2 linked regions of the Xenopus tropicalis genome follow. The protein of the gene in region 1 purifies or fractionates together with the protein of each later gene. This does not show direct contact. Links are inferred from orthologs where the notes say so. Each region holds a gene or a part of one and is shown on either strand. Other genes may lie near its edges.

Region 1 (4,493 bases):
TCCCTGCACATTTAGCCACACCCATAAATGTATGCAGTGCACTTCATATGCCCCAGTTAAACCCCAGGCCTGTTACAAGTTCACATCTCTGTAGTCGAAGTAGTGAAAATGGGCAGTAAAGTTGTGAAATGCTCTGCTGGTTAAGGTTGTGATGGCAGATTCTATGAATGCCTTTAGGAGTGGCTATTTCTTGAGCAAGAATAATGTCCAAGACTATTGCAATTTTAAGTTTATATATGAGGGTGTATAAATTCGGATCAGATGAAAGCGCTCACAGTCCATTATAACTGACTTCAGATCGTAATTGTTCACACCATAAAATGCCAACATGGTACACGTTCGATCCATTGTCAATACACAAGAGACTCCTGTCTCTCCTTCTCTGACCATATTAACACCACTATCAAAACCTGTCACTTTTTCCTGCGCAATATTGCCAAAATCCGTCCCTTTCTTTCTACTGCAACAGCTAAGCTGCTCATGCATGCTCTCATCCTGTCACGACTGGACTACTGCAACCTGCTATTAACCAGCCTCCCTAACTCCCATCTTTCCCCCCTACAGTCTATATTAAATTCTGCTGCCAGAATTCTCCTCCTCTCATCCAGGAGAGTTCAGGCCCTTCCCCTGCTAAAGGCCTTATCGTGACTTCCTATTAAACAAAGAATATCGTGCAACCTTCAAAGCCCTCCATTCCTCTGCTCCTCACTACATCTCTTCCCTTGTGTCTCTGTACGTTCCTGGTCGACTCCTTCGTTCCACGCAGAGCAATCGTTTGGTTGCGCCCCCCACTACAAGTGCGGTTTCCCGCCTTAAACCTTTCTGCCTTGCTGCCCCTTACATTTGGAATGCCCTCCCTGATTTCCTCCGGAGAGAATCCTCCCTCAGTATTTTTAAAACCAAACTAAACGACTACCTTTTGGAGCACTCGCACAGCCCCTGCGAACTAGCACTTATATTGTAGTGTCACCCACTGTGACCTACAGCACTTATATTTGCCTATTTGTGTCTGTAAGTTACCCTCCCATATAGATTGTAAGCTCTACGGGGCAGGGACCTCCATACTCTTGTGTCTTTGACTCTTAACTTATTGCAACTGTATCTTGTATTTATTTGTGCTTATTATAAAACTTTGTATTTATCTATTTTAATACCCGTTTATATTTATGTATTCTACTGTACAGCACTGCGTACATAAGTAGCGCTTTATTAATAAAGTTATACATACATACATACACTGGGGTTGAACTTGATGGATGTTGCTCTGTATGTAATTAAGCAGCATCACAAAATGTCCAGGGACACTATTTGTTTGCACTTCTGTCGTACTACAAATGCACTAACTTAATGCTTGGTGTTAAGATTTATAATAGGAATATTACCCTTCTATGACATTTTAAGAACATTTTCCATAAAGAGTGAGGACAGAGACAAACCGCTGATTTTTACCCAAAAGCTCATGTAAATGCTTTTATAGTGTTAGTTTTATATTTAGCGACATTTCTAGGGACAAAATAAGGCGACTATAAGCTATCCCTGGAAATTGTCGCCAGCTACGAACCCTCTTTCTCTCAAGCTTGTAGCCCTATGAAACGACAGGTCAGTGAGAGCCGACTGAACGTAATGTACGCCTGTGTGGACGTATTACGCACGCACGCACGCACGCACCGGTCACGTGACAGCTGCAATGGCCGACACAGACTGTAAGTGGGATCCTGGAGCAGATAAGTATCCGCTGCTTGGATTCGGACAGGCGGTTATTGGACCCCCGGGCTCAGGAAAGAGCACGTATGTGCGAGCAATGCAGGCTTTGCTTGCTCAGATGGGCCGCAAATCCGCCATCATTAACCTGGACCCAGCGGGAGAGGACGAACCCGGGGCAGCAGTGAGTCTGCGGGAACTGCTTGGACTTGAAGAAGTGATGTCGGAGTTGCGGCTGGGACCAAACGGGGCTTTGCTGTACTGCATGGAGTATCTGCAGGAGAACTTGGACTGGTTGCGGGGCAGGCTGCAGGGCCTGCGGGGGACATACTTCCTGCTGGACTGCCCAGGGCAAGTAGAGCTCTACACACATCACCCGGCCCTGCCCGACGTTCTGCGGCGCCTGGGTGCCTGGGGGCTTCGGGTGAGAGGCTGGTGCATTTGGGATTAAAAGTCTAAGGGTGACATATATTGGACATAAAGCGTAAAAGTTATTTAACTGATGGCCAACCTCTCTGTGCTTTTAGTGAGCCACAAGAACTGCCTGCCAGCTGTAAGCTTGCAGGGAATGCTAGGAGCTGTAGCACTGTAGTTATCTATATTGGATGTATTTGGCCAATGGTACTGTCTTGGATATTCAAGGCTGCTGAACATCTTTATTGCACAACAGCTCTTTGAACCAGCACTTTTGGGTGTACCCTTTGTGGCATTTCTTTAATATGTAATTGCTTTGGTAATGTAACATTGTGTCGGCTAGAAAAATTAGTTTTAGCATGAAGATGGGCCTAGCATCTTACAGGCTCATGTTCTTGCTCTGTTCAGATAAGTGTGTATTTATTAGCTGTGAGAAAGTTAAATTAGTCTTATGCGTCCATGTTTCTTCTTGTTGGTGTCTTGTATGCTTGCTGAAGGAAGGTGGGCCATTTGTCTTAGTTGCCCTATTACATTTTTGTGCATCAGTGATAAAGGAGACTGCATTGGTTGATGTCATTGTCACTTTTTATGCTATTGTTATTTATAAAGTGCTTACAGCAAAGCAGCCTTGTAATGTTTTTTTTTTTTTGTGTGTCTCCTTCTAGTTATGTGCTGTTCACCTAGTGGACTCCCATTACTGCACAGATCCAGCGAAGTTCATCTCTGTTTTATGTACTTCACTTAGCACTATGCTTCATGTGGAGCTGCCACACATCAATGTCCTGTCCAAGATGGATCTCATTGAACAATATGGCCGCCTGGGTAAGAATGTGTGAAACCGTAAAGACAGTCAACTAAAATATAGTGCTTACAGAAACTGATTAAAATTAACTAGAACAATTTGTTTGTTACTAGTTGGTATTTGCAAATGGCAGTGCTGCTGACATACCTGCTCCCATCCACAGCCTTTAACCTGGACTACTACACTGAGGTCATGGACCTTTCTTATTTGGTTGAACAACTGACATCTGACCCCTTTTTCCGCCGCCACAAACGTCTCCATGAGAAGTTGGCAGAGGTTATCCAGGATTATGGATTGGTGACCTTCATGCCACTGAGTATTAAGGTAATCAATCTTTGATGATGCTTAGTACCGATAAGAGGGAGAGAAAATGTACCAGTAACTAAAAAGTTCTTTAAATTTGTAAAGTAATGCCATGCAAGGTTTAGTTAGCTATTTCTATAGGCCAACTGGGGTAATATATACACAAACAATATATGTACATTGCACTGAAATCTTTCATTTTCTCCTAGGATGAGAAGAGCTTGCGGTTAGTTCTCAGTGCTGTGGATAAAGCCAGTGGATTCTGCTTTGGGGAGACAAAGCAATCACTTGGGAATCTTATGTCTGTGGCAGTGGGGGCAGATTTCCAATTCACATCGTATCCTTCACATGATTGTAGGGGTTAGTAGTAGGACTGGCGAACATTCTTCAGTGCACAGATTGAGGGGGCACAGTTAGGTATCATAATGCACTGTTGTTTTTCCTGTGTACCCCTAAATGCATAACAGTCCACTATCTCTCCCTGTGTTCTTCTCTCCATAGCTGCTGTATAAGGAGGGGTAAGGAGGGTGGGTAAGGAATGAGTTTATGATGTTTACTTTAAAATGTAAAAAACAAAGTCACATTGAGATCTGTTGAGTGTAGGCTCAACTGAACGATGGGTTTGTTTCATTGTTTCCCCAAAAAACTGTCACCTTATTTGAAGTATATGTCACACAGCAGAATGTTTTCCCAATGCTCCTATTGCCTGTAATTTAATTTATGTGATTTCTGTTGGCTGTTTTAACTTTATTCCAACTAAGCCCCATTAGCCATTTGCTACAATTTTTTTTTTTCGAGGTATACTGAAATATATGCCTTCAAATTTACATACATAATTAAATTAGACAAACTGCTCAAGTTATATGTCTCCTTTAATTGTAGAGACAAGCATTAAGTGGTAAAATAAATGGTGGGGGAAATTCTCTGCTTACATATCAGTTTCACTTCATTCTACCAAGGTTTCTCCTTAACCAATGCTATCCCAGGACACTGGCATTCCAGGAGAAATATGTGGAGAAGGATAAACGCACCGTGGAGGAAGAAGCTTTAGACCTATGAACAATTCACCTTTCCAGAAAAGGCGCTGCTTCTGTATTCCATTTTCTTGAGTCTAGTGCTACAGCATTTTTGGGTTATATTTGAAGGGGTTTGCTAAATTATGTTTTTTTCTAATAAAAATGTAAATAGACATGTCTCTAAACAGCTTTTTGACTACTATAAAGTTTGGTAGAATGCAGCTCATAAGTATTCAAATGCTGCAAGCTTTTGTGGG
Region 2 (4,363 bases), about 17 Mb from region 1:
GGGGTTAGGGAATACACTGGTACATGGGATGGGGTTAGGGAATACACTGGTACAGGATGGGTAGGGAACACTGGTACATGGGATGGGGTTAGGGAATACACTGGTACATGGGATGGGGCTAGGGAATACACTGGTACATGGGATGGGGCTAGGGAATACACTGGTACATGGGATGGGGTTAGGGAATACACTGGTACATGGGATGGGGCTAGGGAATACACTGGTACATGGGATGGGGCTAGGGAATACACTGGTACATGGGATGAGGCTAGGGAATACACTGGTACATGGGATGAGGCTAGGGAATACACTGGTACACGGGATGAGGCTAGGGAATACACTGGTACACGGGATGAGGCTAGGGAATACACTGGTACACGGGATGAGGCTAGGGAATACACTGGTACACGGGATGAGGCTAGGGAATACACTGGTACATGGGATGAGGCTAGGGAATACACTGGTACATGGGATGAGGCTAGGGAATACACTGGTACATGGGATGGGGCTAGGGAATACACTGGTACGTCATTACTGCAACACGTGCACCATTCCAGCTGATTAATCCCGGCTCAGAGTTCCCCATGAACAAGCTGTTGGAGTACACACACCTGAGCTAGGACACCTTGTACTCCAGTTACAGCTAAACTCCTTCCCAGGAACACAACCGTAGCCCAAAAGAGGCGAACAGAAGCTATTCTCTATTAAACACATGGATACTGTACTGTATCACCCCAATCGCTCCTACTCAATGTGGACTGACAGGTGGTATGGACATCGTGTGCTCACAAAGTCTGTCAGACGCGGGACTGTCGCACGTAAGACAGTAAAGCACCATGACTTCCTTGGCCATTACCTGCTCGAATTTTTCTAGCCTACCCGCGTCCTCCGATACAGCGCAACCCTTCTCAACCAGAGTCGACATACTGTGACGCACTCCTGTAAGTGCCGCGCTCTGACAAACACCAGCGACCCCAGGGCTACTTTAGCACACTGAAGCCTTCACACCAATCAGAGACGCCGCCGGCGTCCATGTGACGGGAGGTTGAGGAAGCAGCCCAGCTGCCATTTTTGACACTGGCGGAGTATTAATATTATTCATTGCGCTCAAAACTGCTTATGATTTGTATATGTTGGACCCATATTACACATAAGTAACTAGACGATGTAAATTTATTTTCCCTTTGAAAGTAGTGAAAGAGCCCACGTAGAACCTGGCCACCGCGGACTAGAATTTGTATTTCAGCATGCAATGTAAACGCAGAGTACCTTCAACATGGGAAGTGACGCCATTTGCTATTGTCGTGACGTCATCAGAACGGGCGAAAAGACAGTGAGAGTGCTGAGTGCAGCCGGGAAGCTGAAAGGACTCCCTCTCGCATCATGAACGCGCCACCAGCGTTTGAGTCTTTTCTACTGTTCGAGGGTGAAAAAAAGTAAGTATTTCATTCAGGCATATTGGCCTTTATACAGCCAATTAAAGAAACACCAAAACCAGCACAATATGACATAGCCATAGATGAAAGACTGCTGCACAAGTGTCACATTAACCCAGGACAGGCTCCCTGCTGGAAATTACAGTCAAGCTGCTATCATAGCCAAGGTGAAATGACAGTGAAATCCAGTGGATCGGTTTTACACAAACTGGCCCTGCTGTTGGCAATTAAAAATAAATTAACAGTAAATGAATTAATCTTTAGTATGTTATTAATGTACCTATTCCATGCAACTTTTCTCAAGGTGCCCACTTGTTGTTGTTTACTTTAAAGTATTAGCATTTTCATTCTGCCACTTTCCAGCTTGCAATTGAAAATGCTGTCTGGTTGTCTGGGCAACTTTAAAACATAATACCATCAGTTTTATTGTTATTTTAGATTTTATTCCATTTCAGACTATAAACCTGTGTATAAGAGGAATTGCATAACTCACTAAATCCTTTCTGTCTATTAGAGATTAGGTCCCGGTTATTACTGCAGACAAGGTTTGGCTTCAAATATTAGACTAGTTGAGATAACAATTAACCCCATATCATTATTATTATTATCATATATTATTTTCCATTCTTTAAATATCTGACCTTATTTATGGGTAACTGATGGATAGGAGTTGCTGATATGAGTATGGGGAAGATCAGTAGGGCACAAGTCTCCCAATAGGCTTCTCTGTTTCACATGCCACCTATCCATGGCCTTGGATGATGGCACTTTAGGTTTTATGGTGTCCACAGATAAAGCCTTTGGGTAGTGGGTTTCCAGGTTGGGTTTGTATCTTTTCAGTTAGGCCCACTCAGGTCTTAACTTGGAGGTGTAATTTTCTTGTTTTCCCCTCTTTATTTCATACAAGGTTACAGATATTTTATATATTAGTGACTCTGCCATAGTTCTATGCATATGGACTGGACATATCAACATTGGTGCTTTAATGTTACCCAAAGTTTGACACATCGCGGTGGAGCTGTACTTCTATGTCAAGTCTTATTTCTAAAGGTGGCCATACACGGGCCGACTATAGCTGCCGATATCGGTCCCTTGGACCGATTCGGCAGCTAATCGGCCCGTGTATGGGGAGAGCAGATCGGCCTGGCCGACCGATATCTGGCCTGAAATTGGCCAGATCTCGATCGGCCAGGTTAGAAAATCTGGTCGGATCGGGGACCGCATCGGCTCGTTGATGCGGTCCCCGATCCGACTGCCCCATTGCCTCCCACATAATCCGATCGTCTGGCCCCAGGGCCAAACGATCGGATTATTATTTTTTTTACCTAAATGGTCCCCAACGAGCCGATGCGGTCCCCGATCCGACCAGATTTTCTAACCTGGCCGATCGAGATCTGGCCAATTTCAGGCCAGATATCGGTCGGCCAGGCCGATCTGCTCTCCCCATACACGGGCCGATTAGCTGCCGAATCGGTCCAAGGGACCGATATCGGCAGCTATAGTCGGCCCGTGTATGGCCACCTTAACACACATAAGTGAATGGTTTAGGAAGGGAGGCTGATAAGTCATTGCACAGGAGCATATAATGGCCCACTCTACCGGTACCAATACACCAGGGAAGTGACAGGTGCTGCTCCTTCTTGACACTTCTTTTTATGTTGATTGCCAAATCAGACCATTTGCTCGACAGGTCAGTTCAACTTATAACCAAGTTGTCATTCAATGTATAGCTGCTTGTATTCTTTCTTTCTTACTGTTTTTATATGATCACATGTGATGATGATGTAGCTTGAATGCCTATATAACTAATAATCATTAATGTTTAGGATAACAATCACTAAGGATACCAAGGTACCTAATGCTTGTTTGTTTACAATCAACAAGGAAGATCATACAATTGGAAATATCATTAAGTCGTAAGTATTTATTTTTTTAACTTTATTTTAATTAAGGCAGAGTAGCACTATCAAACCAGCTGTTACAAATATCTCTAGTTACGGGGGGGGGGGGGGGGAGTTAAAAATGTCACACTTAGTGCTGTGGCACACGGGAAGATTAGTCACCCGCGACAAATCTCCCTTGTTGCGGGCTACTATTCTCCCCAATATGTAAATCGCCGGTGGGATGACATATGCAAAAATGAAAACTGCCAAAATAGATAGCAAAATAAAAAATATTTTCAATGTAGTTAATTAGGCAAAAATGTAATCTAGGGCTGGAGTGGGCAGATGTTTAACATAATGGCCAGAACTCTACTTCCTGCTTTACAGCTCTCTAAGCTTTTAGCTGTCAGTAGTCAATCAGTAAACAAAGGGAGCTTCTATGGCCATTCTGCTGAAAAATATAGCGTTCTACCTTTAAGATAAACATCTTTCATTCTGGGGATTTCCTTGTCCCTTAATATGATAAAGGGATAGTTTACCTTTACTTTTAATGTTAGTATGATGTAGACATTGACAATTTGCAATTGGTCTTTATTATCTATTTTTTATGTTTTTTGAGTTATTTATCTTTTTGTTCAGCAGCTCTCCAGTTTGGTATTTCTGCAGCTAATTGGTTGCTAGGGTCTTATCTACCATAGCAACCAGGCATTGGATTGAACAAAAGACCACAATGCGTGCATAGAAATATAAGTAATAGAAAGTAGCAATAATTTTAAAAATTGTAGCCTCAAAGAGAAGTAGTTTTTAACTGCCGGGGTAATTTTAAAGTTGCAAAAAGACAGAAGAGGAAGGCAATTAAAAATATAAAAAAATAAATAATGGAAACCAATTGTAAAGTTGCCAGGAATAGGGCATTATATGACATACTAAAAGTTAGAATGTATGACTTTGTAAACTTATTCTATTATAGACAGCTGCTGAAGGATCCTCAGGTGTTATTTGCAGGTTACAAAGTTCCACATCCTCTTGAGCATAAAATTATCA

Evidence for each region.
Region 2: the proteins of gpn2 (region 1) and polr2j purify together in Homo sapiens (affinity purification with mass spectrometry; 3 studies listed by BioGRID and IntAct, counting the BioPlex papers as one, with this or other methods). This does not show direct contact. The link is inferred for Xenopus tropicalis from reciprocal best matches to the Homo sapiens genes GPN2 and POLR2J.

The regions. Positions count from the first base shown.
Region 1 is NC_030678.2:77,754,975-77,759,467, reverse strand, and holds gpn2 (GPN-loop GTPase 2), read left to right. Parts: upstream 1-1,667; 5' UTR 1,668-1,687; coding exon 1,688-2,125; intron 2,126-2,780; coding exon 2,781-2,937; intron 2,938-3,080; coding exon 3,081-3,241; intron 3,242-3,429; coding exon 3,430-3,585; 3' UTR 3,586-4,206; coding exon of another isoform or gene 4,207-4,279; 3' UTR 4,280-4,405; downstream 4,406-4,493. UniProt on the Homo sapiens protein: Small GTPase required for proper localization of RNA polymerase II and III (RNAPII and RNAPIII). May act at an RNAP assembly step prior to nuclear import.
Region 2 is NC_030678.2:94,652,363-94,656,725, reverse strand, and holds the start of polr2j (DNA-directed RNA polymerase II subunit RPB11-a), read left to right. Parts: upstream 1-1,357; 5' UTR 1,358-1,383; coding exon 1,384-1,436; intron 1,437-3,262; coding exon 3,263-3,352; intron 3,353-4,289; coding exon 4,290-4,363. Other genes in the region: txlng (gamma-taxilin), read right to left, coding at 857-925. UniProt on the Homo sapiens protein: Core component of RNA polymerase II (Pol II), a DNA-dependent RNA polymerase which synthesizes mRNA precursors and many functional non-coding RNAs using the four ribonucleoside triphosphates as substrates.